Ovis aries: one gene and its partners. The protein of the gene in region 1 interacts with the protein of each later gene in a biochemical or structural test. Links are inferred from orthologs where the notes say so. Each region holds a gene or a part of one and is shown on either strand. Other genes may lie near its edges.

Region 1 (3,940 bases):
AGGGGGAGCTGGAAAAATGAGGGTGGGCCAGCATGCAGAGAGAACCAAGATCTCAGGAAAAGGAAAATAAGAGAGTAGTCAGACTCCAGACTGGTTTTAGTTTTTATGTTTATTTTCGATGTAGAGGGTGGTGAGAAGGTAGAATGAGAGGCTTCTAAATTAAATTTCAGATTCTATTAATATTTCTATCATTCTTTCACTATCTTATTTCCCTGAACATTTTCTTTTAAGTTACCTGAGTGGATTTTTGTTCCTTGCTCTTTGTAAGCATTTAGAATGGTATGGTGGCTATTGTTTAGGGTTTCCAGGAAAGCTTTCTTCCAACCCTCGCCTTGTAACACAATCTGATTCCTGGCCACAGGGAAGAAGGCTGGACATGTCCAGGAAGTTTTTGGACATGAAATGCTGAAACTGCGGTGAGAGTTTGGCTGGAAAGAGAGATCTTAAAATCATTATCATATACATAAAAACAAGGAAATAATTTTTATAGAGCATTTTCAACATATTAGGTAGTGTGTTTGGCACATCATATTAATATCAGTTAATTCTTACAATAATATATGGAGATTATTTTTCTTTGGACACGCAGAAACTGAGGCTTAGAGAATTTAAGTGCTACAAGGTCATACAGTGGATAGGGATCAGAGCTTGGATTCCATCCCAAGAGAGGGGTCAGTCCACAAACCCCACGCTTCTCCGGCTATGTTGGGTGGCCTTCCAGTTTACGGGAGGACACTAGGTCTGTCGTCTAGGAAGATATTAATGGCGAGAGGTCTGAGATTGGAACTCTAGGGCACTCTAACTCTTGATAAGAGGATTTGGTAACAGAAAAAGGGAAGATGAAAAAAAAATTACAAGATGTAGCACACATTAGAATCCGGTACATGTTTTTCGAGCTAATTTGTTATTCTCATTTTACAGGTTGGGAACTCCAGTTTCAGTTACTTGATCGAAATCCATCTGCAGAGACTAACCCAGACCTGGCAGTGGGTGAAGGTCTCCGAACCGGGCAGCGGCCGAGTAGGATGCAGGAACTGCATTTCCCAGTACGCTTGGCGGGAGGGGGCGGGGCCGGGCGGCCGCAGATTCCTTCCCAGAAGCAAAAGCGGAAACAAAAGAGTGTCGCCGGCGTCCCCGCCCGCACACTCGCACACTAGCGCTCGGGCTCACTCAGAGCAGGCACCCGCGCCCAGAGCTAGCCAGACAGCAGCGACCCGGGAACCCACCCGGCTGAGCCAGCCGAACAGCCGGCGATCCGAGCCCGCACTACCCCACGCCCCCGAGCCCTGCAGCCGTCCCCCGCCGGCCAGTGTCCCAGCCGCCCTCCCTGACCGATGGCGCTGAAGCGGATTCAGAAAGTGAGTGCCGGGGCCGGGCCTGGGGCAGCGGGGCGGGCTTCGGCTCGCCGCGCACGCTGACCCCAGTGGTGGTCCCGAGAGACGCGCCGGGAGGGAGCGTGCAGGGAAGATGGGCTAGGGCGGGGACCGGGGGCCAGAGACGCCGGCGGGCCAGCGGGCACCCGACAGGTGAGGTGGGAGCAGCGACAGGTCCCGGGTGCTGGAGGTGCTTGGAGGCAGGGGGCCCGATGTGCTCTCACGCCGGAGCTGCGCCTGGGGATCCCTGGCAGGAGAGCTGCTTCTGTCTCCAGACCTCCAGACCTATGTGCCGCTGGGTCACTGGATTTTGCCTTACACCCGGCTAGCTTTGGCCCTTGTCATGCTGCTTTCTTCATGCTGTTTCTGAAACCTGTCCTCTTTTATGATTTTGCCTTCCCCTGCTCCCGGGAGGGCATGGAAGGTGTGGTGGGCCTGCAACCTTCCTCCGCGGAGCTGTTGGGTTTGTTCTTTCTCTCCTCTGCGGTTGGCTCTTGCTCAGATGCCCGAATGGGCTGGAAAAGCCCATTTGGGACCGAGAAACCAGGAGAAGCCTCCTGCCCCTTCTATTTTGGTGCCTCTGCTGCTGCCACTTGAGGTCACATAGCTGTAGTGAAAACATAGTTGCTGATACACAACAAGATGACCTCCTGGCTGTGATTCATGGTGAGTCAAGCCAAGCAATTTTTTTTTTTTTTCTCGCCATGATAAACTTATATGTAAAGTTTGAGACACAACAGAAACTGTCACAAATTAGATAGTTCCATGCTTTGACACATGGGTATAGAATGAGGAAGAAATGTTTATATACATTAAACAAATATGTTTCCGTCCCAACTCAGTGTAAGGAATTGTTTTCTCATGAATGCTTTTTGCTACCGTCTCTAATGTGAACATGTTACAGACCTGAGATTGGGGCGTTTTCTTTCTGTTCACTTTTGTTTCTTGTTGGGTTATTTAGTCTGTTCCCTTTCACAAGCTTTAGGCTTTACTGTTATGGTTCATGTGGAGAACATTGAGAATTTGTTTTTTTAATGAGAAATGCGTTCAGCAAGTTAAGCCAGAGATGGACAGCATGTTTTCTAAAGGATTTCAGAAGAAATACTACCAAAAAAAATTTTTATCAACTTCTTCTGGCACGAATCAATAAGGCAGTGATAGGGAAGTATACATTGTATTCTCAGTTACCATTGATGTCATCTTCTGGTACAGAGGACAGCAACTTTCTGACCCAGCCAATTTGGTGGTGGTGGTGATGGGGAGGGGTCAAATGATCCGAGATCTGAGAAATACTGTTATTTTTTGTGCCTGTTAAGGTTACTCTCACGGTAAAGCACATAGCTAAAATCAGCATGTGTTGATTACTATGTTTTCTGATTTGAAGATAATGCAGTTACACACTTTTTTTCATATACATGATTCTAATTTTGAAACCCCACTCAGCATCTTTGCCATGCCTTGTGTACTTTTAAATGATGATGTAATGTTGGCTCACATTTGAGGTAAACACACATTTTCCAAGGAAGTCTTAAAATTCCATTTCCTTCTTCCCTAGTTGTAAGAGTTTTTTGCAAGACTACATGTATAGTAGCTTCAAATAGTGTAAAATTTGTCGACAGTAAGTGAACATTCACAGAAAATGGACACTGTTAAGTGTCCTGGGCAATGTATCAGTCTCCTTGCTGAGCCAATGTCTTTGGCTTGTATTTATAATATGGCATATACCCAAATCATATTTTTAGTCATTATTAGTTATTAGTTTATAACAGAGTTGTCTGGTTAAAAAAAAAAAAAATTGGATATGACATAGCATCCCATCTCTGTGTGTCAATCTTTGGCTCCCCTTCTCTGTTACCAAAAAAAAGTGATTTGTACAGATCTCTTTTCCATTGATCACTTGTTCAGACCACTCTCAACTTTAGGAAGTATTTTGTTTGATTCCCCACATTTTCTCTTTCTTTACTACCTTCTTGATGAGAAGTGAATTCCAGGGGAGGTATGCTGTTTGCCATGTGAACAGTTAAGTTACAGAGCCCTCTTTGATATCATCAGTATATAAATTCTTTTTGAATCTTCCGTGCTTCAACAAAAGAATCCATGTTATTAACTTTTGGCCTCTCTTTTAAAATGTATTAAAGTAACACTGTCAGATAAGGTCATTGGGTTGCGATTTTCCTGGGCCTACAGTGGCAGGCTTTGGAACTGTGCAGAACCTTAAAGTACTTTCAAGAGTGAAAGGCAGGGGAACAGCTTCTAGGGTAGTACATCAGAATCAACCATGGGACATTTCAGACCATCCCCACTGCTGTAGTCCATGGGGTCGCAAAGAGTTGGACACGATTGAGCCACTGAACTGAATGAACCATTGCTGTAAATGGAGAGATGCTGGTGAGTCCCTCAGATGGGCTGCTGTGGAAGAAAGGTCATGAACCACTGACTGACATTCTAGTCTACTCACTGTTGTTCAGAGAAGGAGCTTGAGGTTTCGAGTGGAGTGCTTTGTCCAAGTTAATCTCTTAAGAAGTGATTTGGCGTGTTTTAAAAAGGTCATGACTTCACAGTTTTTC
Region 2 (4,259 bases), on another chromosome or scaffold:
AAGTTAACTTTTGGAACTGTGTAAGTGAGCACTTACATATTTTGGAATTTGTGCCACCTATGATATATATAACTTACCCATCTTCCTTAATCCAGACAAAAGCCATGCAAGGCTAGAAATACTGTCCCAGTTTTACAGCTGAGCCAGGTGGTGAAGGCTGAGTTTGAATTCGAGTGCAGATGACTCCAGACACTTCCATTGTTACTGTCCTGGCTCACTTACTCAGAGGTTTGTCCACAGATTAATGATTTTTAGATGGTGCTGTAAGGATCTGGGTATGGGTTCTTTGTATATAGGTTCTTTTTGTATAGGTTCTTTGGAAGTCTGGGAAAACATTTTTTTGCTTGAGAAATGTCATCCCTTTTACTTGTTTTTACAAATTTGGACTCTGTCCTAAATCTGTCTGAAGTTTTTCTGCTCTAAAACATTTGGAGTCTCCTGGTCTAGAAACCTGAGACCTATTTAGAATGAATATGTATTAGAAAATTAAAACATAGATTATTGTAATTTATATTTTTCAGTGAACAGACTTTTCAGTTATATTTCTGTTCCTAATGATGTTTTCTGTAGCCTAATACCAAAATGACATTGAGGTGATTGAACACACTACTAATAGGGTGGGGAAGTGATCAAGAGTTAAAATTTTATGCTAAAAATGGCCAATTTAGAGCACAGGGTTCACACTCACACCAGGTCTTGGTGCCTTTAAAGGCTGCACTAAGCATGATGTAATGACAGGTTAAACCTCTGAATGCCTGAGCTGACGCAATGCAGATTGGAGGCCCTGGACTTTACTGGGGCAAGGGTAATGCTTATTTAAAAACAAAACAAGCTACTCTGTTTAATGAGGCCGTTTAAGATGGTTTTCCTAGAGTGGGAAGAGAATAAAATCTAAATTTGAGGGTTAAAGCAGGAGTTTAATATGGTTATGTGTGCTTAGTACTCTCACTACAAAATCTCGAAGGGAGAAGGAGTTTAAGGTGCAGATGGTGGTAAAAATGGAGAAGCGAGTTACAGTTGTGGAGATAAGGTAGTTAACGCCCGTCAAATAGTTATTGAACGAAGTACGGAGAATGCTTTTACTTTGTAAAAATCTAGCGTCCGCAGGGTTAACTGGCAGAATATAGTGCAGAGATGCTTGTCTGGTCGCGTATTTCCCATATATTCTGTGTAGACCTTTGGGTTGAAACCATGCAAAATTGCCCATATCCGACTGTTTGGGCCTACAGAAATGGAGTTCAGCCTTCTAGTAAGCTGATGGCTTGCGCAGTATCGCCGGGGAGTGAGGATCGGGGGGGTTTTACGCCGGGTTTTACTCGGCTGGGTGCCTGGGTGGGAGTTGCACGCTCCTTGCCCAGGAGCCGCTTGGGAGCTGCCCCAGACGGAGTGGGGCGGAGCCTTAAGCCCCGCCCCCGCACGCCGCCCCGCCTCTCGCCATCCGCGGCAGCCGCCGCCCTGTGCAGAGAGAGCCTGCGGCCCCCTGGCACTGCGTTGGCGCAGGCTTCCCTCCTGCGGGCCGGATCCTGCAGTAGTAGCTTGAGCTGGCACCGAGAGCGCACGTAGTCGACCAGTGGCCTCTACGCACCCTTCTGCCCTGTTCTTCACCGAGCTGGCAGGAGCCTAGCCGATGAATTTGGGGAAGACAGACTTCCGAGACAGACGAAGGTTTAGGGCCCAGCAGAGGACAGCTCAGCAATGGCTCCCATTTTTGGAGACGCAGGCAAATTTCAGCTCCTGGGGAGGTGTGGTCGACTCCTCTTGGAACAGGAGGGGGCATCAGTTCTCTTCTTCAGTAGCCAGTGCTTCTGAGGAGTGAATGGAGTGTATGGAGTAGGGCATGTGCCTTCTTTTGAAAACTAGACCCGGGACATGTTTAGTAACAGAAGATATCCAGGAGAGCCCTCCGTTGCAAGTTGTCTTTGCTTCTGGGGGAAAGGCTATGAGCTCTCTGACTTATGACCGGGAAGTCTCCCTTACCTTTTCTGTACTCCTGGAGAGGCATCTTGCTCACTTGTTTACCAGCATCTGGGACAAGGAAGAGAAAAGGTACTGCTATTAAGAGACTGTGTTGCTTAAACTGTGGAACGGGAAAGTTGTTTTGAGCCTCTGAAACGGACCAGGGAATTGCTGCAACAAAATTGAGCAGGCAGTGATTTCTTTTGATCAGCTGTGCTTTTCTCAGTTTAAACCAAACTTCGGGTTATGTCATGACTGCTGCAGAGCTGTCCAGACACTTAAGTCCTTGGTTCCTACTGCACGGCTGCTGTGCTGTGTGTGGATTACTTTTCTGTGTAAGATGGACTGAGTTCCGCCTGCCGAACTTTGGGAAGTTTTAGCAGCTACTGTCCTGTAATACTTAAATTCACCAGAAATTGAAGCCATATTTTGCTTGTTTTCACACTTTGAATAGTAATTTTAAGTTGTGCTTTGTATGTTTGGGAAAATAATGATGTATATTATAATGTGAATCTGGACTATTGATAAATGTATAACTTTTTCTAGGTCACAAAATTAAACAGTAATATTTTTCTTGCTTAGTAGTTATATTATGTTGAATACAAACTGAGTTTAGTGACCAGCTGGTTTTGGTTTAGTGATTTGAAAGGAATCAGCTTAGATTTTGTGCCCAGGGAATTACTTCCCAGTTACTATGTTGCTCTCTTAAATGAGCCGCATAAAATGGACCATGAAATAAGCATACATACGGGACACTTCAGCAATGCTAAGCCATTGTTTTACTAGTGACCTAAAATAAAATGCATGGATCATCATATGCAGAAAAAATCTCAGAGGTAAACTGGATTTCATGAAAGTTCCTTTATAGTGTTTTTGTTGGGCTGAACACTGGTTATACAGGGCTTCAGTGATGAGAGTTGATTCCTGTTGTCTTAAATCTATGCGATGAGCCATGTTATGATAGAATCCTTGTGATACTTTTGTTTCCCCGTGAACTCTAGAATATTCCTTTAGTGACAGTGGAATTGACCTATTTTGGGGTTTCCTGGGGGAGAGGGTTCACTCTCAACCCCCATTTAAGGTGTCTGTCCTTGAGTAATCTGCGAGTGTGTGCTTGTGCTCAGTCGATCAGTACCTGGGGTCTGACTCTTTGTGACTCCGTGGACTGTAGCCCACCAGGCTCCTTGGTCGATGGGAATTTCCCAGGTGAGAATACTGGAGTGAGTTGCGATTTCCTCCTCCAGGGGACCTTTCCGACCCAGGGATCGGTACTGTGTCTTCTGCCTTGGCTGGTGGCTTCTTTACCACCGAGCCACCTGGGATGCCCTGTCTATGAGTAATAGAATCCAAATTGCATTTATGTGGTCTCATTGATAACCAGCATTAGTTTTTCAACGTTGAATTCTAACAGAATAACAATTATAATTAAGGAAACATTAACTTTTAGGAGTTGTTAAATTTTGATTTTGTAGAGATATGGCTTGTGGTTATTGAGTATATACTCTTAGGACATTAATGGACTGATTTTTTGTCATCCCCAAGAAAGCAGTGCACTACATCCTGGGAAAAGGCGCTTGTTTTATCTTTAATTCAGCTTGACAGGTTAGTTAACGTTGTTGATCATTTTTTCCAGATGGCATTTATTTCTTAAATAATGTTTAGTACTGTGCTGATGAATGCTTCAGCAACTCTGGTGAACTCTATAATAGAATATAAGGAATTCTTTACCTGTTGACTCTGTCCCTCACCCCTAATGTTGTGTCTTTCTGATACTGTTTATTCTTTATCTTTTCCTGACTTTCCTTCCTCTTTGCAAATTATACCAGATTTATATTGTAGAGCGGAAGTAGAGCAGAATGATTTAGTTCTGAATACCAGACTCATACCTTTTAGAGGGTGGTCCTCTATTTCTCCTATATGCTTCCTCACTTTTGAAGGGGGCCACAGATGGGTAGGAAATAAGATGAAGATCTAGCTGGGGTTAACATTCCATGGAGATGGATGATGGGATGGCAGGAGACCTTCCCTTCCCCAGATAGATCTCTTTAGCAGATAATATTCACCCTTAGAAAGAGTAATCAGAAGCCAGTACCCTGGTGATCCTTTGGATCATGTATAACTCACTGAGGCTGTCAACAGCTGACTTAAGAATGGGGAAGAAATAGAATGAGCAGGGCAGTTGAACACAGGCAGGGGAAATTCCAGTCAGAACTGATTTCATTGAACTTAAACTGTTTATACAGTGTTCCTTAGTGGTTTAGGATCCAGGTTTCTGTTCTAGCGTTTATTCCATGTAGTCCATT
Region 3 (4,188 bases), on another chromosome or scaffold:
GTGTACTCTGGGTGTGTGTTGCGCTAAGTGGCTTTAGTCATGCCTGACTCTGTGACTCTGGGCGATAGACAGCCTGCCAGGCTTCTCTTTCCCACTAGTGTCGCCCGAGAAGCCCAGTGTGGTAGGAGTGGGATCCAAATGGGTAGCCCCTTTGCTTCCTTGAATTTCGAAGCAAACACAAGGATTGGTGGTGACCTAGGAAATAGTAATTTGCCATGTTGCTGGGGCAAAGACTTGGCATGTGTAGCGTTGCTGTGAGAGCGCCACTGTGGGCAGTGTGGTGAGCCCAGGCACCAACCGTCCCTACTCCAGAACTGGATGTAGCTCATGAAGATATTCATCCTATTCTGCACCTGTATTATCATGAACGGAGGGATCTGATTGGGGCTCAGACACGGCCTCCTCAAGTGCTAAGAGACCACTGTCATATCATGGAAAAGGCCCTCCATAGAGAAAGGCAAAGGAACAGTACCCCTGAAGGTGACTTCTCTAAATAACTGCATCTTCAGCATCCAAGGCCTTGACACTTTTTAAGTTTTATTTTTAGATAATTCACAGGTGATTTTAACAGAGTACACAGAAAGATCCTGGGTATCCTTTACCCACTTTCCCCCACTGGTAACATCTTGCGTTTGAAGCTACAGTACAGCATATTCCAGGATCTCCATATATATTCAAGATAAAGAGCACTTCTGTCTCCACAAGGATACTTCTGTTTCATTTTTATAACCACATCCACTTCCCTCCTTACTCCGACTCAACCCTTGGGAACCACGAATCTGTTTTTCATTGTTGTCAACTTCTATCTTAAAAAAAAAAAAAATCCTGATTTTCTCATAACCACAAGGGCAGGTAGTCCAAAGTAAGGTCGACCCCGAGGGACGTGGTCTCTCGGTCAGAAGCAGGACACCAAAGCCCGCTCGGAACCGAGACTCGGTGGAGGGGGGCGGTGAATTCCCAGAGCTCGGATATTAGCAGAATTCCCGGTCTCCTCGGCCAAGTGATCCTCATTGCATTCGCCTGTCTTGAGTTCTGGAGCCCGCAGCGGGAATTGCCTTCCGTGATTTGAATTTCATTTTCCTGCTTATCTCAATAATACAATCCGCGTTTCAAACTCTAGTGAAAAGAAAACTCAAGTGGCCCCAGGAAGCTCTTATCACCACCTGGCACATTGGGAGCCTGGAAAGATGGAACCGAGCAAGTGTGCGGGAGGAGGGCGGGCGGGGATTGCCCTCACTTCCCCGGCTTCCGCCGCCGCCGAACGAGACTGCGAGCCCCTCGGGTGACTACGCCCGAGGGGATCCCGTTGCTAGGGGCGTTACCAAGGAGGGGCCTCGAGGAGGGGCTGTCTTCCGGGGGGAGGCCGACTAGTAACCCGGAAGCGGTCGGCAGTGCGGCGCTGTTTAAAGATGGCGGCGGAGGAACCTCAGCAGCAGAAGCAGGAGCCGCTTGGCAGCGACTCCGAAGGTACCGACCAGGGGAGAGCCGCCCGGCCTGGGCTAGCGGGGGCGATGCCGGATGGCCGGTTCCCGAGGAAACCAGGGCTGGGGCGGCTGGCGGCGAAGCGAGCGGAGGGCCCCTTCCCCCGCGTCCGCCGCCTCCCCTCCCCCTCACAATGGAAGGAGCCGCCGCCGCGACCCCTGGCCGGCCGGGCGGCGGGAGAGAAAGCGGGCCGGCCTCCGGCCCGCGACTCTTCCCTGTCGCGCGCTCCTGGGGCGGGGCCTAGGCCGCTCCGCCCCTCCACCCCCCGCCCAGCCCCCTCCCCGCTGGGCGTCCGGCTCCCGGGTCCCGGCTCTCCCGCCCCGGACCTGGCAGTCAGGCCCGGGCCTAGTCCGGCCCCGTCTAGTCCGCCTCCTCCAGAGCGGCCCGAGCCCGGGAGGGCGTCGAATTACGCCGGGCTGCGGAGCACAAAGGACTGGGCGGGCCGCTGGGGATGCTGCGGGCCGCCCGGGGTTGTGAGCGGCCGTAGGTGTGTGCCCAGGAGGGCAGCGCCCTTCGTTTCCGGTAGAGTCCCCTCTCCTAGCCTCGCAGCCCCTTGCTTCCTGTCTCGGCATAGTTTCCTTAGACCCCTGAAGAGTTGGACCTCTCAAAACGGTCCCACCCTCTTCTTTTCACCCCTGAGTTAGACACTGGGGACTGAGGAGGTCACTAGGGTTGGGAGGGATGGCCCAGTTGCAGTGCAGTGTCGGGGGTGGGTGGAAGCCCAGCTGAGGCCCCGGCCTGCTCAAGATCAAAAGGATTGGCCTTAAAAGTCATTTAGCACACAGCTCCCTCTCTAACCGCACACTGAAAAACAGCTTTTGGGGACCTAGACCCTCCCCCCAATCCCCGAAGGGACTGGTTTAGGATCGTGTAAGTTAAGAAAGAACCAGAGCCAGGATTCAGGTCTCCTGGCTCCTCACCAGTGGCTGCTTGGCATGGGGCCCACAGGGTGGACCCGCCCAACTCAGTGATGAGTATTGAACTACACCTCTTAAGGTACCATCTCCTCAGGGCATCACAGTGAAGGGAGGAAGGTGGTGCTATCTGTCTCTATTCACAGCTGATGATGAGCCTCTGCAGTGAGGTGCCAGGGGAGTTATTGTGGCAAAGAGCCCAGGCTTTGCAATTAGACAAACCTGGGATTGACCACAGGTCTTCCTCGTCGCGACTTCGGGCAGGTGATTTCACCTGTCTGCGTTTTTGTTCTTTGTAAAATGGGCACCACTACGAATACCCAGGATGGCAGGTGGAGGAATGGTGTGACTGAGGAAAGCAAAGCGCTCATCTAGCCGAAGATGGTCTGCTTCCTCATCTGTCTTTCCTCAATAGACCTGGCTCAGGGGCCTTCCGGGCTGCTCGGAAGTGATGTTAGAGAGCAGGGGGAGAGGGCTTGTTCGAGCTGGAAGAGTGTACCCTGGGGGGCGATCACCTTGGCCTGCTTACTTTATTTTCCACCATTTATTTATACTTATTTGGCTGTGCCAGGTCTCAGTTATGGCATGTGGGATCTAGTTCCCAGACCAAGGATCAAACTCAGTGTAAGATCGGACCCCGGGGGGCCATGATGGGCCGCCCCTTCCCTCCCCCGTCGGCGGGGGAAGTCCCTAAGGAAGGGGCCTCCCAGATCCCGGGGACCAGTGACAGCACAGTTTGCCAGCTAAAGCTGCCCCACCTCCGCCACGTAGAAGGACGTATCAGCCCGTGACGCCTCGGCCCGGCAACCTATCCAAACCCCCATCCACTAACCTGGCCATCCCTCGCAGCGTGCATATATAAACAAACTTCTAACACGTTCTGGGCGGGTCCGGGAACCCCGCCCGGGAGCGCTTCGCCATTAAAGCCTGTTAGACACTCTTTTGGTGTCCTGGTCGTCTTTTACCTAACACCCAGGCCCCCTTGCATTGGGAGCTCGGAGCCTTAGCCACTGGACCTCCAGGGAAGTCCCTGGCCTCCTCCCTTTAAAGATGAGATAACTCATGCCCAGGAAATGGAAGGACTTTGCCAAGATCCCACAGTTGGGGTGGAGCAGGGCATGATGCATGCTTCCAGATTGCACGTCTGCTCTCCTGGCCCGTTCTTGTCCTCGGCCCAGCTTCCTGGAGTGGGGAGAGCCAGGGCCCACTGTAATACTTGGCCTTCTTCCTTTTTCCAGGTGTTAACTGTCTTGCTTATGATGAAGCCATCATGGCTCAGCAGGACCGAATTCAGCAAGAGGTGAGTGGCTGTGGCCAGTGGCCTTACTTTGGGGATACATTGGTTGGACTGAGGCCTACCGTTTGTCTTTACTGTGGAAGCTCCCTCCTCCCCAGGCTGAGCTGATACTAGATGCCTTTATGGGGAGAATGTGAGGTCCATGTGCCGCTGGGTGACTGGCCCAGCCACTCTCAGCTAGATGTTCGGGCTGACAGGTGTGGGTCACTCCATTTGCCTGTCAGAGTGTAATGGATTCCCCATCCCACAGATTGCTGTGCAGAACCCACTGGTCTCGGAGCGGCTGGAGCTCTCTGTCCTATACAAAGAATATGCTGAGGATGACAACATCTATCAACAGAAGATCAAGGTGGGAGCCTGGCCAGGGGACAGGAAGAGCCCTCGGGTGGGGGCAGGAGCCTGGCCACTTGATACCTGCGCTTGGCTGGGCCTGGCCTCAGAGGGGTGGACGGTTGGGGAGCCCTCTGGTCACTGGTTCACAGGTTGGCAGAGTCT
Region 4 (3,692 bases), on another chromosome or scaffold:
GAGATATATTGTCCGTAGACGGCTGAGCCTGCACAGAATTATTTTTAATAAAATGTATCTTTTCTTCCAGCATGCTTTCCACTTCCACTGCATCTCTCGCTGGCTCAAAACACGGCAGGTGTGTCCGTTGGACAACAGAGAGTGGGAATTCCAAAAGTAGGTGTCCCCGGCTGTTTCGACATCGTATGTAAGGTTGGGCTTTGTGGTCAGTACTGTTCTTGGACCCACGTCAAGCTGGAGGGTGCACAGTTTTAGAAGATGAAGACATAGAACATGGCTGGTTCATAAAGTAGCTTTCGGTTAGTTAGATGAGGACGCGTCTCTGTGGAAAGTGTATAAGGTGAACCAGCATTAGAAACTTGCAGCCTGGAGTTTCCCAGCCATCTAGGTAGGGTCTTTGGAAGTAGTAGTAGAAGCTTGCAAATTCTCATTTTGCAAGCTATTAAATATTTCCACAATCACATCAAGAATAAGGCTCCAGGGGCTAACTAATGTCATCTGTCTTTGCTTTGGGCTAGAATTATATCATGTTTCATTGGTTTATCTCACAGGGATTAATTCTGATACAGCATCTGTGGCTATCTCAACTAAATCATTATTGTTGCTGCTGTTAATTGTAGTAGCGTGTAAGTAATACACGGCGTGCAAATTTTCAAAACTTCAAATGATCAGTCTGTACTAGTAATTCCTAAAAGAGGAATTTCTGGTTTAAGAGTATGTATGTTTTTATTTTTGATAGTGTCAGATTTTTTTCCTTTCCCAAGAGTATGTACTAATTCACAGCCCCTACCAACAGTGAAGCAGAAGACTTCCTCCTCCATTTCTTGCCAGTGCTTTGTTATCAGACGTTTTCATCTTAGCTACTGACAGGTGAAAATTAGTTTTCAATTGTATTTTTTAAAACTTTGAGTAAAGTTGGGCTGCTTTTCATATGTTTTTATGCCTGTTGTATTTGTCTGTGAAATGCTTTTTTATCTGTTGAATTTTCAGTTAATTTATCAAATTTTTAATGGAAAGGGGGATTTTCGAAGTTCTCAAGAGACCTTTGTAATTGACTGTGCCGTGGAGCAGGCTCAGGGTGCCATCTTGGATCAAAACTGTCTCACGTAGCCCATACACGTGCCCAGGGCTGAGCCTAAGAAGTGGGGGGGTGACGAATCCTCCTGCTAGGCTTTGACACTGTCGCTTTATCCAGCTGGTGACTTTGCCTGGCTGTGGTTATGAGCGCCCTGGGAAAACAAATTCATAAGAAGCAAATTTCATTTCAGCATGCTTTAAACTGATGGATAACTTCTAGGTTATTCTCACTAACAAGCTGGAGCTCTACCCTGTGAGGACTTTTTTAGGGAATTTTTAAGCGAATTTCTTATAAGGAGTACTTAAAGAATCTAGCAGCCCTTCAGGATGATGGCAACAGTGATGCAGAATTCTGGTGCCCTGGTCTCCATCTGTGTAGCAAAGTATTTTCATTAGAGGCGAACTACCCACTAAGAACCATGGCCAAAGATTAAGATAATAATGGATTCTGTGTTCAAGAAATCTTACATGTGGAAAAAATGTCCTACCATTGGTTATAATCTTTCTGGAGCCAAGTTTTGGCCTCTGAGGAAATCAGAAAGGACCTGAGATCCATAGCTAGTTTCTCGACAGTTCTTTCGGTGGTGCTCAGCAGACTCAGGGCTGTAATTGGAACTGGTGATAGATTTTGACACTGAAGGCTGTTCGGTTACTATCCTCTGTAGGGGTCTTACCCTAAACTAGCCCAAGTATGGGAGTTGAGGGGAAGAGGCGGCCCACAGGGAAGAGGGCGGAGGATTCAAGCTGTCTTAGCTGCATACTGGCCATCAAGTGCAGCTCCCTTTCACAGCCATTAGCCGTGACTCCTCCCTGTCACTGCCCAGTATCTGCCTGGCACCAGGAAAGAGTCAGGTGGGTGCAGTTGAGTGGGGGACCATCACTATGAAGAGGGTGGTAGGGACAATGTTACAGGAGGCCGGTAGGCTGAAAGGGGCAGAGACAAGGGTTGAAACCCAATCTTCAAAGTTTTAACCAGATTGGTGGATATATTTTTAGCAGGTGTTACAGTCTCAAACAGGGAATCACGATAAGGAATGAATTAATAATTTACTTTGTCTTCCAGGTATGGGCACTAGAAAAAGAATTCTTCCATCAAGCTCAACTGTTTTTGTTATCCACTGAATGACTTGCCCTCCTGTTACTTATTATAAATTAGATAGAACTGTGTCTCTTCTGCTTTGTCTTTTCAGTTTGCTATTCTGGCAGCCATACTGTATTCTGTGTCAAATAAAATCCAGTTGGATTCTAGAACAGACGCTGTCTTTTGTGTATGTGCAAAAAGTGAACACAAGTAAAGGGCCTCCCGCCCCTTTCTAGGGTGGAAGGCTAGGTTTTGAAAGTGAGGTGTTTGTTCATCAGAGCCAAAGCAGGATCGTCCTGTGAGCACGTCGCTTGGTCTCAAGGAAGCCTGGTCCACAGCCTGGCTGCTGCTGATGATCTTGGGCGAGTGGTCTGTCTGCTCCGAGCTCTTCCTCCTCCGTGAAGTGGCTGCTAAGGACTAAACAGGATCATGTGGGCACAGAAAGAGGCCTTATAAACTGTGAGAACGCTGTACAGGTGTTAACTTTGTGTATGACATGTTGCTTTCTCATTTTAGTTTAGAAAAGTTAACTTGAAAAAAAATTAATATGTCATCTTGGCTGGCGATGGAGTAATCTGTGAACTCAAATTGGAAAACAGTGTCATTTAGAGTTAACGGGAGAATTCAGGTTTCCCTTCCTCACCACCACCCTTTGTAATTTGTTTAAGATGCCTTGGCTGTGGACAGAACTGCCAGTTCTAACACTACTTCAGTCTCTTAGTCTTTAACTGAGAGGCGGGTTAATTTACTGCAGTGATTCTCAAAGTGTGTGCTGAGGACTTGCGGGAGTAATGGAAACACTTTCAGGAGGTTCACGAAGTTCCTTTTCCGGCTGCGTGTCTGTACAAGGCCAATTTTTCTTTTTTTCCTTCAGACAAAGCAACGTATTGAATGAAAAAAGAGAGCAGCAAATCCAGCTGTCTTCTGCTAAGTCAGATATAAAAGAGATTTGCAAAAATGTAAAACAGTGCCACTCTTCTAACTTTTGTTTTGAAAACTAGTTACTTTGAATAAAAATATTTATGTTAACGTGATGGGTTTTTGTTCTTTTAAAATCTTTTAAATTTCTCAGTTTGATTTCCATTGTGGTAAATATCTGTGGATGCAACCCCCATAAAAACTCTTTGGTTTCTTCAGTGTGTAAGATCATAAGGGGATCCTGAGACTCAAAAGTTTGAGAACCTCTAGCTTAGTAATAAGAACTTTGAGGTCCAACCTGGGTGGAACCCAGCTTCCCCACTTGGCCGCCAGCAGTGCAGTCGCTCAGGGCCAGGTGGCTGCTGCCGTCGATGTTCCTTCCACCCTCGGCAGAAATCACCTCCTTTAAACCCCTTTCAGGTGGTCATTCACACTGCAGGAACACTTAAGCGATGCAGAAGAATGGTTTTCACACAGCTGGCGTCACATATTTGCAGAGTTCTGCCTGGGTGTTCATAAAGACCCTTGGTTGCAGAGCAGCCGACTCCAGCTTCTGCTTAGGTCATGGAACGTTTGTGAGGGCTAGGGGGCTGTGTCCTCTGAAAGGAGTAAGGGA
Region 5 (4,160 bases), on another chromosome or scaffold:
AAATCCAAAGTCCTGACCCTCATCCCTCAAAGACCAGACTTCTGCTACCTCTTCAAGGTCCTCTCTCACTCTCTTGCTCTCTGCCCTCCAGCCACAGTGGCCTCCCTCCTTGAAGCTTCTGGGCTCGGGATGTAAGCTCCAGTCTGGGTGTGTTGGGGGTGGGGGTGGCTGTGTCAGCTTTACACTTGTTACTTTCCCTCTGCCTAAAATCTTTTTCCCCTAGAAATCCACTTAGCTAGCTCCCTTACTTTATTCGTGTCTCTACTCAGAAGTCACCTCATTTGAGAGGTTTTTTTTCCCGATATCCTATTTAAAACAGTAGTCCTTTACTATCATTTATCCTGCTTTATGGGCTTCCCTGGAGGCTCAGTGGTAAAGAATCCACCTGCCAATGCAGGAGACGCAGGTTCAATCCCTGGGTCTGGAAGATCCCCTGGAGGAGGGCATGGCAACCCACTCCAGTATTCTTGCTGGGAAAATCCCATGGACAGAGGAGCCTGGAGGGGTACAGACCATGGGGTTGCAAAGAGTCGGACATGACTGAATGACTAAACAACGACAAATTCTGCTTTGTTCTTCTTCCTAGCAGATATTTATCACTGGCAGATATTTTATTCCCTATCTATATGATTACTATTATTATCTGGTTCCCTAGAAGGTAAGGTCCCTGAGGGCAGGGTCTGCTTGTTCCTGGCTGTACCTTTGGCTCCTGTGACAGTGCCTGGCACATAGCAGGCAGCTGATTCTGATTTGTCAAATGTCTCTGCATGGCTGGTCCCTTCTCATCATTCAATTCTCAAGCCAAATATCACCTCCTTAGTGACTTCCGATCAGAAATAACACAAACTCCTTCTCTTTCCTTGCCCCAGCCCTGTCACTCTCTAAGGCAAAACCCCATTATATTTTCTTCTTAGCACATATCACTCTCTGAAATGACTTTAGTTATTTTGTTTACTTGCTTATTGTCAATGTACTTCTCCATCCCCAGCAGGGACCTGTCTGTTGTGTTTATCTCTGTGTACCTCTCAGCTTCCCTGGTGGCTCAGATGGTACAGAATCTACCTGCAATGTGGGAGACCTGGATTCGATCCCTGGGTTGGGAAGATCCCCTGGAGGAGGGCATGGCCACCCACTACAGTATTCTTGCCTGGAGAATCCCCACAGAGGAGCCTGGCAGGGTACAATCCATACGGTCACAAACAGTCGGATACGACTAAGCAACTAAGCACAGCTGTCTTCCAATGTCTACAACAGTGCCAGGCTCATAATAAATCCTCAGCAAATGGTCCTTGGACTGGAGAGGAAGTTGCAGGGACATACATAGCTCCCTTCAATACCCACCTTCTGGAGACAGGAATCCACGTCATTATGAATGTCCTTTACATTTGGAGGCTTCTCATCGTGGCTTGCCCCTTTTTGTGACTGTGTCGAAGAAGACATTTTGGTCTTCTTCTCTTCTGCATTTTCATTGGGTTCCAGGAAAATAGTCACAAGTTGGTTGTCGACCACAATTTGGTGCTCTCCTTTTTTCAACACACCATCCTTACCTTCAGTAGAGATATTAAATATACACATAGAAATGAGAGCAATTTCAAATAACCCTCTTACTCATGCATCTGTACCTTGCCCCAGCACCCTCACAGTAAGGGCTGCTCCCTGCATCCTGGAATGGTGGGTTAACCAGAGGGTGAGGGGCCTATACAAAACTCTAAAAAAAAGAAAGTTACTCAGTCGTGTCCTACTCTTTGCCATCCCATGGACCATACAGTTCATGGAATTCTCCAGGCCAGAATACTGGAATGGGTAGCCTTTCCCTTCTCCAGGGGAATCTTCCTGACCCAGGAATCAAACTGGGATCTCCTGCATTGCAGGTGGATTCTTTACCAGCTGAGTCACCAGGGAAGTCCCAAAACTCTAAAGAAGGCAGCTTAAGTTATATTGTAGAAAGGAAAGCTTAATGATGATGGAATATCATCCACTCTTTAAAAGTCACGTTCCTGAAACTGTCATGAGTTTCCCATTTCAATGTCATGGAATAATGCTCATCACAAATCAAGTGAGAGGAGCAGGAATCAAAGAGTAGATTCAGGTTTATAACTACATATATGTTTGCTGACACTCAGAGGAAAAGGCCAGGAGGAAATACACCAAAATATTCACATTCACATTGTTTTTCTCTGGGTGTTTTCTTCTTTATTATTTTCTCCCCTTTCCTTAGTATCTATAACTCTTGCAATTCTAAAAAACGAATCAATGGAATAATAATGGAAAACATCAAAGTGAAATACCTAAGTGACAGGGGCGTCTGGGGGCGGTACGGGTGCTCTGACAACACGGGGACACTGGCAAGTATCAACCAGACCAGAGACTGGGCACTTCTGGGCTGTGTCCTCTGCGTTGGGGTTGCGTCTGTCAGCAGGAGCCCCCACTTCCTGGCTCCCAACGGACGGTACCAGACTTTCTCCCACCCTCTCTCCTAGATAAGCTTGAACTGGGTCTGCATGGAACGCCCGGGGGGCCCCTCCAGGGACGGCGGCTGCCCCCCCCCCCCCACTCACCAAGCCCCGGCCCTCAGCTCACCCGCCCTTTGCTTGAACTGCACCCGGAAGGTGTTCGAGGTGGGGTCGCTGCGGTCCAGGGCCACGACGGTGCACTCCCCGCCGCCCGATTTCCGGCTCTGGAAGTACTTTTCCAGCTTCCATTCCAGGCGCGTGCCGGGATGGGACACCCGCACGAGCAGCGGGGACGGCGGGCCGAGGCTCGAAGCCATGGCTGTCCGCTCGGGGATGGCGCCGCGAGTGGCGGCGACGCAGCTGGGCCGGGCCGGGGCCGGGGTGCCTCCGCCCCGCCGCTCTGGGGCGCAAAGTTTCAGTTTCGCTTCTCCGGAGATCCTTCTCGGTTCCTGGCAGGGCCGCACCCTCTCCTCTCTTCGCCGCCCTCCTGGCCGCGGACTGCCAGGTGAGTAGGTCCCTTTCTCTGTTCCGCGGGGGGTGGGCGCAGGGGCTTCCCGGGGGTCGTCTCCTGTGGGCTCGCGCCGGGGGCGGGGAGAGGCGCGCGAGGCACGGGCGAGTCCTGGGCTTCCCTGGGGAGAGTGGAGACGGGGCAGATGCTCAAATCAGATAAAGTTTCTCCTGAGTTTGTGATTCCTTTTAACTCTTATTGTTACTGTTATTTGCAGGGAAAATGTAATTCACATTCTAAGTTCAGGTTAAACTTAACCTACATTCCTAAAAATTTGAATTTGTTCACCTGAATTATGCCATATCACCTGTTACCTCTATCTCACTCAGTGCTTTAGACTGGCTCTTGGGGCTTTTCCGCCCTCCTTTCTCTATTTAGCCAACAATGCTGGACTTCACGGGGGCTTCCCTGGTGGCTCAGGGTTAAAGAATCTGCCTGCCAATACAGGGGACCCAGTGACACGAGTTCCATCCCTGAGTGGGGAAGATCCCCTGGAGTAGCAAATGGCAACCCACTCCAGTATTCTTGCCTGGAAAATTCCATGAACAGAGGATCCTGGTGGGCTACAGTCCACGGGGTCGCAAAGAGTCAGACAGGACCGAGCACGTGTGCACTGAACTGCACGGCTGCCCTGTGTACTATGGAATAAAGGTGAGAGCCGAGGTACCACACCTCACCTGCTAGTAACTGGAGTCAGACTTGGGACTCAAGAAGCAAAATCTCTCAAAGCCCTCAAGAGGACTTTGAAGTAAAGCAGAATCTTAAGAGAGAAGGAGAGGGAGGGATGGGGTGCATCAAAGGCACAGGGACTGCCCTATTTGAAGCACAGAGGTAGCACGGAGGCTTTGGAAAGGATGTGATGGATAAGGGAGATGACAGAGGAAGGGTCTAGTGGAATAGAATGTGTCTAATAGAAATATTGGGCTTCCCTGGTGGCTCAGATGGTAAAGAATCTGCCTGCAATGCAGGAGACCTGAGTTTGATCCCTGGGTTGGGAAGATTCCCCTGGAGAAGGAAATGGCTACCGACTCTAGTACTCCAGTATTCTTGCCTGGAGAGCTCCAAGGACAGAGGAGCAAATATAATGTGAGCTACATAGTAATTTAAAATTTTTCAATAGCTAGAATTTTTAAAGTACACACAGGTGAAAATAATTTAGGTTCTTTTGCTCACAGTATCCTAAATTAATCATTTCAGCA
Region 6 (3,500 bases), on another chromosome or scaffold:
TTAAGGTGCCTGAGCATCCAAGTTTATAGCATAGGAAGCTGAAGCTAAGACTAGATTTAGGCAATAACTAGTATATGTCCAGTACCCTACACAGGCCTCTGAATCAATGTCTTATTTGTTGCCCAGCATCATTCGGTGGTCATTATCAGTAGGCCCATTTGTAACCTAAGTTTAAAGTGAGGAAATGAAGCTCAGAGAGGTGGAGGGAACCATCAAAATGCCATGCAAGATAAGAAATGGCAGAACTGGGTGGTTCCGTGGTTAAGAATCTGCCTGCCAGCGCATGGAACACTGGTTCCATTCCTGGTCTGGAAAGAGTCCGCCTGCGGGAGGATAACTAAGCCTGTGCTCCAAAACGAGAAAAGTCCATTCACTGTAACTAGAGAAAGCCCGCACACAGCAACAAAGACCCAGGGAAGCCAAAAATAAATTAAAAAAAAAAAAAATAGAAGTTTCTGCCTGATTTTATGAAGTTAAAAGACGCTTGCTCTTTGGAAGAAAAGCTATGACAAACCTAGACAGCATGTTAAAAAGCAGAGACATTACTTTACCAACAAAGGGTCTGCCTAAAAGCTATGGTTTTTCTAGTAGTCATGTACGGATGTGAGAGTTGGACCATAAAGAAGGCTGAGTGCCGAAGAATTGATGTTTTTGAACTGTGGTGTTGGAGAAAACTCTTGAGAGTCCCTTGGACAGCAAGGAGATCCAACCAGTCCGTCCTAAAGGAAATCAGTCCTGAATATTCATTGGAAGGACTGATGCTGAAGCTGAAACTCCAATACTTTGGCCACCTGACGCAAAGAATTGACTCACTGGAAAAGACCCTGGTGCTGGGAAAGACTGAAGGCAGGAGGAGAAGGGGACGACAGAGGATGAAATGGTTGGATGGCATCACCAGCTTGATGGATGTGAGTTTGAGCAAGCTCCGGGATTTGGCGATGGTCAGGGAAGACTAGTGTGCTGCAGTCCATGGGGCTGCAAAGAGTCAGACTCGACTTAGTGACTGAACTGAACTGAACCGCCTGATTCCAAATTGCCTTGCTGTTTCTATCACCCCAAGTTCCTCCCTATAGCAGATCCATACACAGTTTATTGAGCTGGGCTCATCCGGATGTCGACTGTGCAAGTTTGATGGATATCTGGGTATGTTGGGCAGTGTATCTGCCTCCCTGTGGGGCTCAGTGGGAGGGAAGCTGACCTCCAGGGGAAATAATCCCTTACCTGCCCCAAAGTCGATGGTCCTCAGGGTGTCAGCTACGTGCTCCAAGTCCAAAGTAAAGTAGTCCATGTTTTCAAAGCCCTGCTCTATCTTCCCCAGCTGGCAACCCTTGGAAGCTTCCACGATGCTGTGGGGCAGAGAGAAAAGGGGGGAGGGGCACAGTGAGATCTCTGGTTCCAGAGAAGGAAGGAGGCGTGTTAGCTCCAACTTACACCAGGGCACATGCTTGTGTCCACACCCAAGCCTTGCACCCAGAGGCTTCCCTGGAGGGTGGAGTATTTTCCCTTGGGTCACAAGCAGAATAGATGTCTAAGACAGCAGGGATGCAAAGGCTAGGAAAGGTAGCCCGGGGGTAGCCCCTCCCAGCAGAACTAATGCAAAGGAGGAGGCCTTCTGAACATGCCAGAGGCCCTGAGGGGAACTGGGGCCTTGACTCATAGCCCTGGGGAGACACTGACCTTCTGATGAGCTGCTTGGCACTCTGTTGGGGGAGAGAAAGAGCAAAGGGTTAGAACTGCAGAAAGGGGAGCCCCAGGAAATCAGCAAAACCGGGACCAGGCACTGCAGATGCACACTTGGTGCCGTACCCTTGCCCAGCTTTGACCTGTTCATCGGCTTCAGCCAAACAACGTGGATTTTCCCTCTGTCCATGGTCTGGTCTTTATCCTAGGACCCTCCTATTGTGGCAGGAAGCTTGGATTCTAGGAGTATTCATCTAAGCACTCTTAAACACGGAAATCCCCAAGATAAGAATCATATTCTAATCACCTTTTTATACCCGATGTCTAACACAAAGCCTGGCCCACAGTATATGCTTAGGAAATTTTCATTGAACTTAATTCTTCCTTGCAAAATCTTATAGCTGATCCCTTCATGTTTCCCCCAACAAGCTCTTCTAGGGTAGGGCTGTCTCTTTCATCTGTCTCTCCATCTCAGCAACTGGCCTAGGCCAGGTGCTCAGTTAATAGTCTCCACATGGGCACTGTATTTTGCAGCTTGCAAAGCCATTTCACAAGCATCCTTTTATTTGATCCTCATAAAATCAGTTGAGAGGAAGGGAGGGAGAAATTGTTACATGCTCACTATGCAGATAGGGGCTTCCTGGGTAGCTCAGCTGGTAAAGAATCTGCCTACAATGCAGGAGACTCCGGTTCTATTCCTGGGTGGGGAAGTCCCCCTGGAGAAAGGATAGGCTACCCACTCCAGTATTCTTGGACTTCCCTGGTGGCTCAGATAGTAAAGAATCCACCTGCAAAGCAGGAGGCCTGGGTTCAATCCCTGGGTTGTGAAAATCCCTTGGAGGAGGGCATGGCAATCCACTCCAGTGTTCTTGCCTGGGGAATCCACATGGACAGAAGAGCCTGGCGGCTACAGTCCATGGGGTCACAAAGAGCTGGACACGACTGAGTGACTAAGCACAGCACAGCATATACGGATGAGGAAACTGAGTCTTTAAATATGAATGAGCTTGAAATAACTTCCCCAAAGGCATAGTCTTTGGAGATCAGAGATGGAGCCCAACTTGCCCCTTGGAGCTGCTGAGTTGAAGGGCCCACCCCCTCCCAGGACTGCTCACCGAGAGGAAGATGGCGCCACCAGGCTCGTCCAGAGACTGGATGGCCGTCTCCACCAGCTTGGTGGACTTGTCCAGTTGCTCCCGGTACTGCTGGATGAGGGCCTCGAGGAAGCCGAGCTTCTCCTCCTGCTCGCGCGTGATCCGCTGCAGCAGCTCGCTCTTCTTCTCGTCCAGGATGGCGTACAGCACGTCAAACTTCTGGCTCAGTTCCTCTTTCACCTGGTGACTGTTCTCCTGGGGACAGAGATCTCTGAGTCACGCCCTGCAGGTCCTCCTTCCTATCCCCTACCCCTTCCTTCCTGGGATGGGTGTGCTAGGAATGAAGAGTCTAGAGCTGGGAGGGATTTACCACACCCCCATTTTGCAGAACACGAAACAAAGCCTTAGCCGGAAGAAAGCATTTGCTAGGGTTTGCTAGAGGCTGGCGTCGTAGAGAAAGCTACACTTTTCCTCGAAAGTGGAGACTCTAGGGTCAGGCAGGATGACATATATGGGCCTCCTGTGTGCCCCCCAGTCACACTCTTTCTCCACTTTAGGACCAAGACCAGATTTGGGAAATTCTGCATCATTTGGTCCCCAGAGAAGTGGAGAAGCAGCCCCCCACCAACCCCTGGCAATGGTATCCACATTGAGGCTCCCTGCTGTCCAACACTGACGCTACATTTTAGTTTTCTTACCTGTAAACTGGGTATAATAGCAGCATCT
Region 7 (3,981 bases), on another chromosome or scaffold:
CTCCTTTTCATTATTCATGACTCTACTCAAATATCACCAAAACCAAAAAGTCTTCCCTGACCTTCTTATGCTTACTGCCCCAATCTCCATTCCCAGTTCTATCTTACTCTTGGCTCTTATTATCTGAAATGAACAAGTTTATTTATTTATTTGTTGATTCCTTATATCGTCTCATTAAAAGTAAAATATGGGCAAAACTGGATGAAGTGTATAGGATTATTGTTTATTATTGTATGTGTGTATTGCATATGCATACTATGTACTACTATGGGTTCTCTTAATAATGAGAATATGAATCTATAATTGTTGCTGTTGCGTGGGTGCTCAGTTGTGTCCGACTCTTTGCAGTCCTATGCACTGTAGCTCACCTGGCTTCTCTGTCCATGGGATTTTTCCAGGCAAGAATATTGGAGTGGAGTGCTATTTCCTATTCCAGGGGATCTTCCCGATCCAGGGATGGAACCCGGCATCTCTTGCCTCTCCTACATTGGCAGGAGGATTCTTTAGCAACTGCGCCACCTGGGAAACCCTGAATCTATGATTATCTTCCCCCAAAATGTTTTTTAAGTAAGTTCTGTGAGAACTGTGATTTTTGCTTGTTGGAAACTGTGTCCCCAATCACCAAAACGGAGTCTGTCACGCAGTGGGCACTCAGTAAGTTTTATTAAATGCGTGAATTAATAACTGGTGTATTTGGTCATAAATATTCAAAGAGGATGGAGAGGAGTACAAACAACAGCAAGAGATCCTAAGGTGAGGAAACTGGGCGGGGAGCGGGCAGCGGAGGTTGGGGGGAGGGGCGGTTGTGGGGGGAGGGGGACGTTCCTAGAACTTAGCGCTGGAATCCCTATCCTAGAGGTGGGACTCAATTCAGCTCCAAGAACTCTTCCCACTACAGCTTGCTACCTCTCCATTTATGGAGGGTTGGTTAGATGACGGAAGTAGTGATTAGCACTTTCTTCGGAGACGCTCGTAGATCCTCTCTGTGGCTACAGCAGTAATCATTACATTGCAAGACCGAGAGGACCATCACCTTACAAGTGGGTGTTCTCCGATTGCGTTCAGGGAAGACCACGCCCGCACTTTCATTCACTCGCTCTAGTGGTTCGGAAGGAGGAGTCGTGCGATTGCCGCCGAGGTTCACCGCCAGCCCAGGTCCTCTGCTCTGCAGTTGAGGTGTCAGATTTCAATCCTCCAGGGCCCGGGGACGTCTGGCGTGCACCGTGCGCCCCGCCGCCGCCGCCTCCCAGCCTAGACTCGGGCAGCGAGCGGAGGGAGGTTCACTCCGAAAGCGGCCGCGTACTCGGCCTGCCTTAGACCCAGGCTGGGCGCCGCGACCGAGGCTGCTCCCCGGCTGCGCGGCTGGGCGCGCGGGGAGGCGGCGATCGCAGCTGGGCCGGGACTTCCTTCCTCCACCGCAGGACAACAAAACAAGCCGGCCGCAGGCACCGAGCTTTTGGCGACCGTCTGGGGCCGGAGGTGCAGGGATGGGTTCCGTGCTGAGCAGCGATAGCGGGAAATCTGCGCCAGCCTCGGCCACCCCGCGGGCCCTGGAGCGCCGGGGGGACCCTGAGCTGCCCGTCACGTCCTTCGACTGTTCTGTGTGCCTGGAGGTGTTGCACCACCCCGTTCGGACCCGCTGTGGCCATGTGTAAGTGCCAGGGGAGCTGGGTTTGCGCGCCCTCCCCGCCCTGGGTCGGGGGTCGGGGGGGTGGTGGGTGATGCTAGAGGAGTCGTGGGAATGGGGGACTGAGATGACAGCACTTCGGGGAGACTGATGTGAGGAGAAACCTGGGCCCGTCGAGGGCGGACCACTGGGAAAGTGCCCAGTCGGAAAGTGACACAGGATTTCAAGGGGGGAGAAACACCAACCAGCGGGTCCTACAGCGCTCCCGAGAGCCACCTCCTCTGGCAGCCCAGGTGTGGAGCCCCCGGGATGCGGATCCAGGGCTGGCGAGCTGAGGAGGGTGCGCAGGGGTGGAGGAGCAGCACGCGCCGGGAACCCAGACGGGGACTCGGCGGAGCGCAGTGGCCGCTCCCCTCGGTTAATCGCGCGGCGCTTCCCTCTCCGCCGGGAGCCGGAGTTGGTTTTGGTTTGCTCGCTCTGTGCACGTGTGGTCCAGAACGCCTGCCGAGGCTGGTCTGTTGAGCAGGCAAGGATCTGTGCAAAGTGTCCTTCCACCCCAACTTCCCTTTCCCGACACAGACGCCCAGGTCTCTCAAAGAACCGTCAGATTGGACAGTCCCAGTGACTTTCTGTGGCCGCCAGGGTGGGATCTGGGGCTTGAATATTACCCCCAAGCCTGTGAACGCAGCCTTTTAAAGCCCAGTCACCCGAGTGACGGAGGTTGCTGACTACCTGCGTTGCTCACCGCCCCCTCACACGGTAGGAAGTAGGGATAAAAATAACTGTCTTAAAAACCACATGCACGCTTTGTAACGAAAACCCTCTGGGAGCGCACAGCTGTGGTCGTTTCTAGGAAGAGTTTAAAAACAAAATCCCTGTATAAAATTGGCACCTCTTTAACGTGTGCCTGAGTAACTAGTAGTTGGGGGTTGGGTCTGTGAGTTTGTGTTCTGTTCGTTTAAAAAGCTTTCTTCCGGTGGATGCATTGGGTGTGTGACTGGGCGTGTTGGTGAGATTGGCGGGGGCCGGGCGGGGCAGATTTCATAGAGCCTGAGTGAAAACCCACTTAATGCCTTCTTTGGATCACCGACTAGTTTGATGAAGCTCCGAGGCAGTAAGTGCTTTTTTGGCTTACCGGGGAAAAAAGAAGTGTCATAAATTATGAATGCAAGTGCACAAAACGTCTTTAAAAGGACTTAGATGGTCCTTGACACCTATAGCCTAGCATTTGAGAAACAGTTTTCAACTCCGAAAAGCCCAGCAGAGAACCAGGGATAAAAATCTGCTGCCCACACAATGTTCAAAGCAAGAGTGCCCCTGGGCATTATTTTGTGGCTGTATTTTCAGGGCCTGTCGTTTCAGCTTTGTACTTTAAATTCAAGGCTAATTTACGTCCTGCCTGATACCTGATGTAGTTTCCTAGCCGTCCACATTGACATAATTCCCCGGAGGTCAAGATAGAAGCCAAGACGTTATTGTATCATGTATGAAATATATTGATTAGCTCAGAGCAGTAAACCCTCAGGATAGTTACATTTAAATTTAGTCTGTATGGCTCAGCGGTAAAGAACCTGCCTGCCAATGCAGAAAACCTAAGAGGCGCGGGTTCGATCCCTAGTCTGTATCAGAGTTAAAGCTTTTCAGTTGCGGGGAACACACACCGTGGCATCAAGTCTGGACGACTTTCTTTTGTGGGACTGAACCGGGCAGCATTGCTATTGGAGATTGTTATCTGACGGTTTTCCTTAGTTTGGATTTTTGAATGCTGCAGCTTAGTATGTGCAGTGTTTTGCTTCTGCTAAAGGGTAATAAAAACTTGTGAAATGTTAAATCCTGTGTTTAATCTTTTTCTTTGTTAGAGTGAATAGGAAACCAGCAACTGGGAAAAAAAGCCATGAAGTAGCACAAGGGCTGGACAAATCGCCTTCCCTCACTTTATTGTTCTTTGTTTTGACAAAGCTATGTCCATTGTTCTGGCTATGGGCACAATTTCCATATTCCTACTTTTGGCAAATTTACTTGGGCCTCTTCCACTTTGTCAGTGTTAACTAGAGTCCCTTCTGCTCTGGAGATTGTGAGCCCGCCTAACGCCGTTTGTACTTCCTAAATGAATTACTCTCTTCCATTGAACTTAAATTGGAAAATGAGGAAATGAAATGAAACTGCTATATTATCCCAGACTTAAGCTAATTTCCAAACTTATTAACCTAGGTTGTTTATGCTAATTTTGGTTTATAAACCAGTTTCAAGTTGAGCAAATATAATATAGCAACAATACCTTGAATGTTGTACTGTAATGTTGCACATTAATGTTGTAATGTTGCACGTATGTATGTACTGTGATGGAGTAAAAC

Evidence for each region.
Region 2: the proteins of UBE2D1 (region 1) and SIAH1 form a complex in vitro, tested with the Homo sapiens proteins (3 studies listed by BioGRID). The link is inferred for Ovis aries from reciprocal best matches to the Homo sapiens genes UBE2D1 and SIAH1.
Region 3: the proteins of UBE2D1 (region 1) and OTUB1 form a complex in vitro, tested with the Homo sapiens proteins (2 studies listed by BioGRID). The link is inferred for Ovis aries from reciprocal best matches to the Homo sapiens genes UBE2D1 and OTUB1.
Region 4: the proteins of UBE2D1 (region 1) and RBX1 form a complex in vitro, tested with the Homo sapiens proteins (95 studies listed by BioGRID). The link is inferred for Ovis aries from reciprocal best matches to the Homo sapiens genes UBE2D1 and RBX1.
Region 5: the proteins of UBE2D1 (region 1) and DTX3L form a complex in vitro, tested with the Homo sapiens proteins (5 studies listed by BioGRID). The link is inferred for Ovis aries from reciprocal best matches to the Homo sapiens genes UBE2D1 and DTX3L.
Region 6: the proteins of UBE2D1 (region 1) and TRIM63 form a complex in vitro, tested with the Homo sapiens proteins (3 studies listed by BioGRID). The link is inferred for Ovis aries from reciprocal best matches to the Homo sapiens genes UBE2D1 and TRIM63.
Region 7: the proteins of UBE2D1 (region 1) and RNF125 form a complex in vitro, tested with the Homo sapiens proteins (4 studies listed by BioGRID). The link is inferred for Ovis aries from reciprocal best matches to the Homo sapiens genes UBE2D1 and RNF125.

What each region holds. Positions count from the first base shown.
Region 1 is NC_056075.1:305,094-309,033, reverse strand, and holds the start of UBE2D1 (ubiquitin-conjugating enzyme E2 D1), read left to right. Parts: upstream 1-1,140; 5' UTR 1,141-1,334; coding exon 1,335-1,358; intron 1,359-3,940.
Region 2 is NC_056067.1:16,329,749-16,334,007, reverse strand, and holds the start of SIAH1 (E3 ubiquitin-protein ligase SIAH1), read left to right. Parts: upstream 1-1,459; 5' UTR 1,460-1,955; coding exon 1,956-2,046; exon of another isoform or gene 2,047-2,792; intron 2,793-3,498; exon of another isoform or gene 3,499-3,558; intron 3,559-4,259. UniProt on the Homo sapiens protein: E3 ubiquitin-protein ligase that mediates ubiquitination and subsequent proteasomal degradation of target proteins.
Region 3 is NC_056074.1:38,767,050-38,771,237, forward strand, and holds the start of OTUB1 (ubiquitin thioesterase OTUB1), read left to right. Parts: upstream 1-1,388; 5' UTR 1,389-1,409; coding exon 1,410-1,467; intron 1,468-3,634; coding exon 3,635-3,696; intron 3,697-3,943; coding exon 3,944-4,042; intron 4,043-4,188. UniProt on the Homo sapiens protein: Hydrolase that can specifically remove 'Lys-48'-linked conjugated ubiquitin from proteins and plays an important regulatory role at the level of protein turnover by preventing degradation.
Region 4 is NC_056056.1:217,993,073-217,996,764, forward strand, and holds the end of RBX1 (E3 ubiquitin-protein ligase RBX1), read left to right. Parts: intron 1-70; coding exon 71-156; intron 157-796; coding exon 797-860; 3' UTR 861-870; intron 871-2,140; coding exon of another isoform or gene 2,141-2,203; 3' UTR 2,204-3,192; downstream 3,193-3,692. UniProt on the Homo sapiens protein: E3 ubiquitin ligase component of multiple cullin-RING-based E3 ubiquitin-protein ligase (CRLs) complexes which mediate the ubiquitination and subsequent proteasomal degradation of target proteins, including proteins involved in cell cycle progression, signal transduction, transcription and transcription-coupled nucleotide excision repair.
Region 5 is NC_056054.1:187,820,983-187,825,142, reverse strand, and holds the start of DTX3L (E3 ubiquitin-protein ligase DTX3L), read right to left. Parts: upstream 2,801-4,160; 5' UTR 2,771-2,800; coding exon 2,581-2,770; intron 1,548-2,580; coding exon 1,342-1,547; intron 1-1,341.
Region 6 is NC_056055.1:240,766,372-240,769,871, reverse strand, and holds part of TRIM63 (E3 ubiquitin-protein ligase TRIM63), read right to left. Parts: intron 3,030-3,500; coding exon 2,796-3,029; coding exon of another isoform or gene 2,776-2,795; intron 1,701-2,775; coding exon 1,678-1,700; intron 1,347-1,677; coding exon 1,222-1,346; intron 1-1,221. UniProt on the Homo sapiens protein: E3 ubiquitin ligase. Mediates the ubiquitination and subsequent proteasomal degradation of CKM, GMEB1 and HIBADH.
Region 7 is NC_056076.1:25,521,249-25,525,229, reverse strand, and holds the start of RNF125 (E3 ubiquitin-protein ligase RNF125), read left to right. Parts: upstream 1-1,181; 5' UTR 1,182-1,487; coding exon 1,488-1,651; intron 1,652-3,981. UniProt on the Homo sapiens protein: E3 ubiquitin-protein ligase that mediates ubiquitination and subsequent proteasomal degradation of target proteins, such as RIGI, MAVS/IPS1, IFIH1/MDA5, JAK1 and p53/TP53.